Bombyx mori: one gene and its partners. The protein of the gene in region 1 interacts with the protein of each later gene in a pairwise test. Links are inferred from orthologs where the notes say so. Each region holds a gene or a part of one and is shown in the gene's direction. Other genes may lie near its edges. The genes, in order: breast cancer anti-estrogen resistance protein 1, paxillin and SH2 domain-containing protein 3C.

Region 1 (3,763 bases):
AGGCGGACACACACATTTAATAAAACTGGGTCTGAATGGCTGACCACAAGGCGCCAATAAAACGAAACAAATGATACAATGGTCCCCGATATAGTGACGTGAATTAACCTTAGAAAATGACCTCACACGTGGATAGATCGAGTGCTATACAATAATAATTTAACAACTACATATTATGTCAGTTTCTGTGAATGGTGAATCTATGAATCACACCAACTCATGCGGTTCCAATCTGCGTACAATTAATTTTCATTGTTTTTAATTATCTTTAATTTAAAATAAAGTACAAGTCATATAATATTATAAAATGATATTCTTCTTTCGTATGAGCATTTATTTTTATTGCAATTTTTTGTTATCATTGACAAAATGTTGTGAGTGTTTTGGTTAGAATATTAGGTAGAAAGGTAAACTAAAATGGTCTTAGCCCTCGATGTTAAGTTGCTACCTGAACATTGAACCTCAAGCATCACCCTCTAACCTTGGGATCGGAGCTTGAAGTCTCAATCATATGTAATGTCTTACATTTCAAGCCAGGACTGATTGCTTCGGGGCAGAAATAGGCGGATGGTAGTACAAACACGTGCTGGTTCACAATTACCATAAAATCAGTGGTCACGTTAATAAACTGTATAGGTTTGAACATAATGAAAACTTAATTTGTACACTAAAACTTTTGGCCCATGACAATAATGACGGTAAATCTTATTATTTATCTATATATATCTTGCACAATAATAATTGGCCAAAGGTCACAAACTGGCTGGTAATAATAGGCTCCTGTCTCAGTGTCTCAATATCTCGAAACGGACATAAATTTAATAAGTGCGTCGATCTTAATGACGTCACTGTGACTCAACTGGTTCCAATAACGGTTATACACTCGTTGTTTATATAAATAAATATATTTATTATATTTAGTGTTAATATTGTTTCAATCAGTTCACTTTGTAACTTTGTGGCGATCACTTGTGTCTCATTACTAGTGCTTGATTGATATACAGACTTTGTAAAGTATTTTGTGAAATTCAATAATAAGTTCTAAAAACAAATATAGTTACAGAAGGTTGGAAAAACCAGTGTTCACAATGTGTAACTGTAAATTTAACCTAAAAATTAGCGTTAAGACATGCTCCATAAAATGGGTAAACATTGTAAGTTGATTTGATTATTAGATTATTTTATGCGTTTTTTCTTTCTTATCTTGTCTGCTGGAATGTTACATGCTGTGCTTTAAGTCGTCGCGGCCTAAAGGATAAGACGTCCGGTGCATTCGTGTTGAGCGATGCATCGGTGCTCGAATCTCAGGCGGGTACCAATTTTGCTAACGAAATACGTACTACATACGTACGTTCCGGTCACCGTCCTCATCGAACCCGTCGCTTACGACGAAGGGTTCGACGAGCGAACTAACCCATAGACACAGCCCACTGAGTTTCTCGCCGGATCTTCTCAGTGGGTCGCGTTTCCGATCCGGTGGTAGATTCTGCGAAGCACTGCTCTTGCTAGGGTCAGTGTTAGCAACTCTCCGGTTGAGCCCCGCGAGCTCACCTACAAACGTTAGGGCGAAGCTGAAATAGCCTTTCAAGGCTATCAGCAAAGGTAGGAAAAAAAAAAGAATAGAAATACGTACGTAAAAAAAAATGCTGGCGGCAATAAATCTGTTCCATTTTGTTCGATATCGAGCCTCTTTTAGTTGGAATTTGGAATATCATAACTTCACAAATTACTCTAAAATCTAGTCGCACTACCATCTAGGTGATCGTTCCAATATTCAATAAAAAATTAGAAAGATTATTCGTCCAACAATAGTGCTATAGGAAATTAATTGTTCGCTTATTTTGAAGCTTTCTGAAAAAAAAAGCTCGTAAGATTTCACTGAAGGCACGCTGCACAGAACCGAGATTTGATTTTTAATTCATTCAGTCTCAGACCGGAAAGTAATATTGCGATTTTTTTTAAAAATAAATATATATAATCTAAATCAACTTTTAAAATACGTTACTTTTATAGCATTCGGACTTCGGGACATCTGAATTCTTGGTCAAATTTGTCCCAGTCTAGGCATAACTGTTCTCTTTATTTTTGCGTAATTATCTCAACTTTTTATCAACTCCTCAATTTATCTTGAATTGATACAAAGTGAAGTATATTAATGTATCCCTAGATTATGGTTTTGGTATTAAAAATAATGATTCCTTTATTCACGAGCGAGTAACGCATTCTAAAATGATCCTACGTGTGTTAACATGATATTCAATTATTTTTTTTTGGAAATTGATAAAATCGACATGTACCTAATAAATTTAATATTTCGAAAACGTCAAGAAGAGCGCAACTAGTATGTATTTATATTTACGTTTTTTTTTTTGGACATAGCCTGTCAGAAACATCTATACTAATATTATAAAGACGAAAGATTTGCTTGTTTGTTTGTATTGAATAGGCTTCGAAACTATTGAACCGATTTGAAAAATTCTTTCACTGTTTGGAAGCTATACTATTCCCGAGGGATCTTTACTAAAACTCCAATAATGTAACCCAAGGTGTAAAAAAATTACCTAAAATATTTTTTAGTGCGCTGCGATAAGCAATTCACGATACAATAAAAGAATGTACTACGACTTTGTAGAACACATTATTATTTACAAAAAATGCCGCGACAGCAAATGTCTAACTAATATAGTTATGCCGCAATAAGTGTTATTTTATTTTTTAAAATAAAACAACGTCAAATATCCTTGAAATTTTTGTTAAAGACCCGAGCGGAGCCGGAGCGGGCCGCTAGTCGTAAATAAATGTAGTACATTTAACAATACTGTCTCAGCAAATAGACTGCACTCACTCCGCGTAACCGTATATCTATTTTCAATATCGAATAATACTCGGGAATTATAAATAAGTAGATATAAATTTCTGCCAACATTAATTATGATAAGGGAAAATAGTGTTATTTTAAAATATGTAATGATTTCATACGCCTTTGTTACCTACATTTTCAAATAACAGTCAGAGTGTGTATGTATTTTAGAAAAAAGCTCTTTGATTACCATTTTTGGCGTTGCCAATAAATAATAATGATTTTATCAACACCGGTTTTCACTAAAACTACTCGACAACCACAAAAATTTACTTGTTATAAGTACTTATCAAATTTTAAAAATGTGCTCCTAAATACGGATGATAATTAAATTATTTAACTACTGTTCCATTGTTGTCAATAATATTGATCGATTAGAATCGACTGTCAAACGACGGGATACAGAAACTGTCATTTTATGCGCCGGTGGAACGTAGGACGCGGTTTTGTCGCAGCTGCATGTCGGCAACATATGCGTTCGACATTGTCTAATACTAATGGGGATGAAATACGACTGACACATTGAAGTTTATCACGCTTTTGTCCTGTAACGAAATTGATTTGATGAACGTGAGCAAAACTGATTATTAGGAGACTATATTGTAAAGCCTAAGCCTAAAGTAGAACACAAAAGACAAGAGTTTTACTCTCGAAAGGATTTTATTTAAATCCAAAATATATTGGCTTTTCTGCTTGAGTGTTAAGTTTCGAAGTGTCGCCTCCGAATCAGTTTTCGATTCGTTTCTTGATTGATCATTATGATATTGGCATGTGGTATTTTCCGAAGATTATCTTCTTGAGTTATTAAGTCCTTATCGCGGATTAACAAATCACAAATTTGTTTAAAGTAGCTATAGCTATAGCATTAATATCTAATTAAGGAACTCTAAGACCCTTCCTTTG
Region 2 (3,663 bases), on another chromosome or scaffold:
GCGTATGGAGAGTTTTAAAAATTTCATTTGGCTCCATACCTACTTTGTGTAATGCAATCACAGCGATTTGGTTCTCTATATCTATATTTTGAGAAAACTCAATGAAATATCATATAAAAATGACAGATTCCAAATTCAAATGTAATATATGTTTATTTTTAATTGTAACAGTATTTATGGCCAGACTAAGTATACCTAAAATATAAATAAAATTGGAGTGTCTGTTTGTAATATTGAAATAACCGCTTTTTACTACTACATGCATATGAATATACCTAGTCAGGTCATAAATTCTGTCACATGTTTAATGTAAAATAATTGAAACAAGTTTATTCATTATGTAACCATTCATATACCAAAATGAACTTAACAAAACATAGATTCTTATGACACTAAAGTTTATTCAAAATGACCTCCGTGATTTTGAATACAGGCCTTCAATCTGCGCGGCCAGTCGTCTATCGCAGCACGAACGAGGTCCATGTCAATATCGGCGGCTGCCTTAATCAAGGATGTCTTGAGTGACTCCAAATTGGGATGAGGCTTTGAGCACGCCTTTTTCTCCAAGTGTTGCCATATCTTGTAATCTAACGGATTCAATTCTGGACTGGAGGAGGGCCAGTCTTCGTGCCGGATGAAGTCGATTTCACGCGCCGCCAGCCAGTCTTGTGTGCTCTTCGCTCTATGAGCTGGTGCCGAATCTTGTTGGAATACCCAGTGCCTGTTATTGAACATGGTATGAGAAACAGGTTCCACAAGGTTCGTCAGGACTGTATTTTGATACACAACTGCATTCGTTTTTACACCTTTCTCACAAAAATGTACCTCTGTTAAGCCCCAATAAGAAACTCCCAACCATACCATGAGCGAGGATGGAAAATGAGGTCGTTGGACACACGGAATACAGTTGCTCGCTTCTTCACTACTGTGTGCGTACACCTTATCATTTTGTTTGTCGTAGCTCTCTTCTACGGTAAAAATTTTTTCATCCGAAAAAAGAATTTCCCGATATTTTTTTCCCGCGTACCGCTTCAACAAAGCGCGGCATCTCTTCAGTCTCAGGTCCATTAGACGAGCATTCAAACGATGTCCTGTTTTTCTTCGATATGCCCGAAGCCCTAAGCCTTTTCACCGTGGTTCTGCTTAACCCCATCTGAAGGGCCAACAGTTTTTGCTTACATTTGGGATGTCTTTGAATTCGCGCCTTCACAGCTTTTATCACTGCTGGAGTCCTAACAGACCGAGGGCGACCACTTCTTGACCTGTCATCTACACTAGAGTCTTCATTGTATCGATTGAGGGTACGATAAACGAATCTTTTGGTTAAATTCAAATTTTTCAGTATGTTAAAAATTTGAATTGGCGCGTAACCGCAACGATGCAACGCAATAACTGCAACACGGTCTTCTTTAAGCGTCCACACTTCATATTTAAAAATGAGTAAAATTCTAAAAGTATACATTTTTATTTTCATGAACAATTCGAAATTCGAATTCAATAAACTTTTTTGTGGCCAGCATTCTAAAAGAAAAGTTTTAACTGTGTGACAGTACTTATGACCTGACTAGTTATATTCAAAGCTTAAATTTTCGTCAAAAACGTGTTTTACATTCACTTTGTAATTTCATATCGTAAACACATTATAAAAATCATAATCCTTTTCAATTCCAGATGCTTTGCTTGCCGACCTCCAGAACTCTATCAACCCTGGCGGCGCCCGAGTCAGCAGCCCCAGCGGCAGGACCACGTCGCCCGGCGGTCGCACCAGTTCCCCGGGCAGAACTGGGTCTCCTCTAGGCAGAGGCACTTCACCGGGCCGTCTCAGCTCGTCAGGCAGCCTGAGTTCCCCCACCTCCACCGGCTACGGATCCATCAATGGATCTAGGAATATTAGCTCGGATTATGCAAAACCTGCTTCGGTGAGTTTAACTTCTTATAAGCCCACAGACGTCCACCGCTGGACATAGGCCTCCCCCAAGCCTCGCCACAAAGACGGGTCCTGCGCTGTCTGCATCCCGCGGATCCCCGTGAACCTCGATAGATCGTCGGTCCATCTTGTGGGAGTCCTACCCACGCTACGTCTTCCGGTACGCGGTCGCCAATCAAGAACTTTCTGGCCCCAACGGCCATCCGTTCTACGAGCAATATGTCCTGCCCACTGCGACTTCAACGTCGCAATCATTTTTGAGTTTAAACTACAATTATTAATAAAGAAGAATTAACATGCGTCAGCCCTTTCTGGAACTAGTCATTGTATTGCTGATAGACGAATGATTAGTAGATTGTTAATGGTTAGAAATCGCTCAAAAAGTAATTCGATTAGCGTTCTCCTAACGTGAACATATAACTGTTGACATGCACTAGCCGTTTCTGGAAACTTCCAGCGTTTTCCTAAAACTATGATATGACCCCTTCATAGTAATGAAAAGAGTCCTAAGTGAGTAGACAACAGCTTGTTTGCGCTCCTGGCATCGCCAGAAACGGTTGACCCTGTAAATGAGATGGGGTGCAAGATTGTCTGGCTGCCACGTTAATTGAAAAGAAAAGAAAAAGTGACACAAGTCAAAAGATCTTGTTTATCTTGATTATAAAATAGGCATGTTTCATCAGATACCGTGCGTGGAGTTTTATCAGCTTTGTTGATCGATTCGTTATGAAACAATTTTGTTGATAAGAAGTCCACGGGGCTTATGTTTTGTGTGCTCAAGATAAGAATCAAATGAAATCGTGCCCTGAATGGATGCTGTTAATTTTTTGTATGATTAAGAAAGTTCATTGTTAACCTGAACACGCCCATTATAAACATACTTTATAAAATTTAAAAAAACCGGTGTCACAGACAACAGTATAGAAAGTTTAATTAATATTTTTATCCTTTTCGACTTACTTGCTAGTGTAACAGTTGGTTAGCGTTCCTGCAGACTTCAGAGCCGAGGGTCGTGGATTCGATTCCCATATTTGGAGAAACATTTGTGTGATGAACATGTTTGTTTTTTCTTTTTCTGGGTGTTCTATGGCGAGTGTTATAAGGAATTCTTTGAGATAGTCCCATCATTTCGTTTTTACCATCGCACTGCCCGCCTCCCGAGTAGAGTTCATCCATACTACTTATTATTTCCATATTATTACATCCATATTACTTAGTACCACTGCGTTTATCCATAGTGCATTTCCAGAGACCTTTTCTGTCACGTACCATCAGACTATGGAATGAACTCACCTTCACAGTGTTCAAACGAAACTTACGGAGAGTACTTAGCGCTAGGCCACGGCTTGGCTGTACCTCTCGCATTGCTACCGTTCATGAGCGACGGTAACCACTCACCATCAGGTAGACCTTGGGCTCGTCTGCCTACAAAGGCAATAAACAAGTGTTATGAGTATATGAGTATGCATACCAGTCTCTGGTTTCCATAGTACAGGAATTCTAGTTTGGGCCCAGGTGGCCATGTGTCTTATCCCCGGCTATGATTATCATTATATCCGGGTATATTTTTTTTTTTTTTTTTTTTTTTTATTGCTTAGATGTGCGGACGAGCTCACAGCCCACCTGGTGTTAAGTGGTTACTGGAGCCCATAGACATCTACAACGTAAATGCGCCACACACCTTGAGATATAGTTCTAAGGTCTCAGTATAGTCACAACGGCTGCCCCACCCTTCA
Region 3 (3,164 bases), on another chromosome or scaffold:
ATTCGACTATGATCTTACTGAAGCAAAACTACTTCAATCGGACAACTTGGACTATGTTGTGGAATCAAGGATAAATTTGGGAAGTTTTCAATCCATGATAATACCTACGGGTCTTACGAAGCCACTAGAATCTGAAACTTTGCACGCAATCAAACTACTCTTGAGAACATCCGGACCCCGCATCCTAGCAATTCATTTGACGAAAGTCGATTTGTACTTTTTATTCGATGATGCTATTCAAATTGAGGGGTTAGATAAAACTGCGTCTGGTTTGGAACTATGTTTTTTACCGCAAGGACGACCATTGCGAATGGACGTGATTGAAAGGTAAGACGTGATAAGACTAGTCTTGCCATAAATACTGTTACAAGGAAAACATCGTTTATTTTCTATTACCTACATGAAATATTGAGTACTGAGTTATTTTATATATTAATATAACAGCATTCGCAAATAACTCTAAACTCATTCAAAATTATCTCTAGTGTCCTTAAAACAATCCTTCAAATGTCGTGGTCAATTATCAATTGGAACACACTTTTTCATAATAGAAAAATATGCAATAATCTTATGGATTTTCAAGGGCATCCAAATTATTTTGAGATTTGAAACATGATATACTATCTCAAAGAGTCCATAAAAGATGATCAAGTGGAAATAGGAACGAGTGCGCTTAATGCGAGTTTTTAAACTTCTCGATCGTGTAAAAGTTAACTCTAAAAAGAAAAGTGCGATGGAGTTGGAACGTTTGCCTACGTTTGCCGCTAGAGACGCTGTTTCAACTCCATACAAATTTGAGTTAACTTTTACGTGATAGAGAAGTTAAGAAACTCGCACTAAGCACACAGACAACGGTTAGTTTTCAATTTTCATTGAGTCAGAAATGTTCATTTCCAACCAACCACTAGTGGGTGAATCGAGTTTTATGCCCTGGTTCTAACTTTTATTAAATGGGCCATTCTAGGTTCTGAAAAATGGTGTTGTTGAGAGGTATAGCCTACTCCTCAAGAATTGTATCTTGTACCAGGTGTTTCTAACTAATTCAATAAGTTTTTCACAAAATGTTATCCATTCGTCTATAAATCCAACACTGAAGCTGGATAATGCCCACGTTGTATCTTACTGATCAATTAAGAAGCTACTCGAAATTTAGAAATATTATTTTTATTTTGTTGTAACAGAATTTATAGCCACACTGTGTATGTAACTTAAGATGTTATAATCAAAAAGTTTAATTGTTTCGGTGCTTACATTTATATTGATTGTTCTATTTTCAGAATTGAGACCTTTCGACTCCTCATTGCTGTAACTGTATTGACATGTCAAACAGATCGGCAGCGCGCAGACACACTAAATGATTGGATCGTACTGGCTATTGAAACGAAAACTGCTTTAGGCAATCTGTATGGATTTTCAGCTATAATGTTCGGACTGTGTATGCCTCAGGTAGACATTTTACGAGTACACACAAGTAGAAAGATTTAACAATAAAAAAACTGAATGTTGATTCAATGTTTTAGGTGGAATGTTTAGAGAACGCTTGGAATATTCTGAGAAGAATTTACACTGATAACGCATTTATGTTTGAAGCCAAGCTACGACCTAGTTTCAAAAGTATGAACGAGGGGACTAATCCTTTACCTCCGAATACGACTACCCCATACATACTCCCTCCAGTTCTATGCTTCCATTTGTTTGGTAAATAGATGATGTTTAATGTGATATTGAAACTTGGGGAATATATTTGAGAGTAGATATTGATGTCTGACATTAAATTACTGTTTTAGATGGCGATGGCGGTTCGTTGATTCAACAGGACGACACGTTTCCAGGAAGTTTGATGAACAGTATTGAATTCGATTTCAATGCGACTGCCGCGCATCTCGAAGCCGCCCGACAATTTCCTAGTCAAATAGATATGTTCAAACGGAACTCTAGGACTGTCGTACAAGAAATGTCTTCTTTGGGACCCACTTTAGATCCTAGATTATTGGAACTTTTCCGGACCGAGTTTCATATTAATTTTTTATGGGGTGAAAGAGGAGCTCTCACAACTCCGAATCAAAGATTCGCGAGGCTCACCGACATCCTGACTGCGATGGCCAACAAGCTGGCCAGCCAACCATCTGGAGTTGATGATATTGTGTAATTTTGGATATAACGTTTTGCAACACTACGACTTCCTCTGTAAGATTGTGACCATATCAACGATATTCATTTAAGTGCGACATTATATTTGACGAATCTTTTTTTTTTGTTTAGCTGGTGCAGCTATAGCTGTTGTGGAATTTAGCGAAGCCGAAAAAAATCTTTTTATACATGTTTAAGCTATAATACATTTTATAAAATAATGTGAAGGAATTGTAACTTTAAACAAATAACTGCCAATGTAACATTTAAAGTGCAAATTTTAGGCAAGCTAGATGTCATGTAATATTTAAAACTAGTTTATAAACTGTATGTTAAACAAGTAGCTGTAATTTTAGTTTCAACTTTAGCTAATACGTATTTATCTTTGTTATACATTTATAAAATTATCGTAATAAATGCAATATTATTGTATTCAAATTTTATTACAGAAACCTTTAAAATCCTAACGATAACTTAGGGAAAATCATATTTTGAACTATTTCTTCACAAGACGCTTACAGGACACGTTGCTGATGAATGAGTAAGTATGATCGTTATTGGAAATTGATGAAATAAAAATATATAAAATATTTATCTATGCAAAGATATTCAAGGTCAGTTGTAGTATGTAATTCGCGCGAAAGCGACTGCTAACGACGAAATACGTTTTGATCAATGAATAGTTTAATCTCTGTAAATTAAATGATCAGCTTTAATAAAAAAAATCGCGTAAAAACATACAAAATATACACGATGAATTTTTCAATTCTCCGGCTCTTAGATATGGATCTGCTGAATATTTGAGTTATTTTTTATAGTTCACAATTTTGTTTTCTTTTGCCTTTTGCTCTTACTTTACTGAATCGATATCTTCTTCACTAAGTACATATCATACTGTTAATACAAGTTGTTTTTAAACAAGCAGCATGTGCGAATACTGTTTGGCGAATTTATTTATTTATTCAAAGCTTTCTTATCCCTTTTTGCGTCATTTTCTATTGGTTTTAGTTTCACAACCACTTCAAAAAAAAAAA

The links.
Region 2: the proteins of breast cancer anti-estrogen resistance protein 1 (region 1) and paxillin interact in a two-hybrid assay, tested with the Drosophila melanogaster proteins (2 studies listed by BioGRID). The link is inferred for Bombyx mori from reciprocal best matches to the Drosophila melanogaster genes p130CAS and Pax.
Region 3: the proteins of breast cancer anti-estrogen resistance protein 1 (region 1) and SH2 domain-containing protein 3C interact in a two-hybrid assay, tested with the Drosophila melanogaster proteins (2 studies listed by BioGRID). The link is inferred for Bombyx mori from reciprocal best matches to the Drosophila melanogaster genes p130CAS and CG9098.

Annotation. Positions count from the first base shown.
Region 1 is NC_085117.1:10,879,612-10,883,374, reverse strand, and holds the start of breast cancer anti-estrogen resistance protein 1, read left to right. Parts: upstream 1-973; 5' UTR 974-1,088; coding exon 1,089-1,154; intron 1,155-3,763.
Region 2 is NC_085116.1:14,656,587-14,660,249, forward strand, and holds part of paxillin, read left to right. Parts: intron 1-1,671; coding exon 1,672-1,919; intron 1,920-3,663.
Region 3 is NC_085107.1:15,460,562-15,463,725, reverse strand, and holds the end of SH2 domain-containing protein 3C, read left to right. Parts: coding exon 1-327; intron 328-1,277; coding exon 1,278-1,446; intron 1,447-1,520; coding exon 1,521-1,698; intron 1,699-1,787; coding exon 1,788-2,149; 3' UTR 2,150-2,562; downstream 2,563-3,164.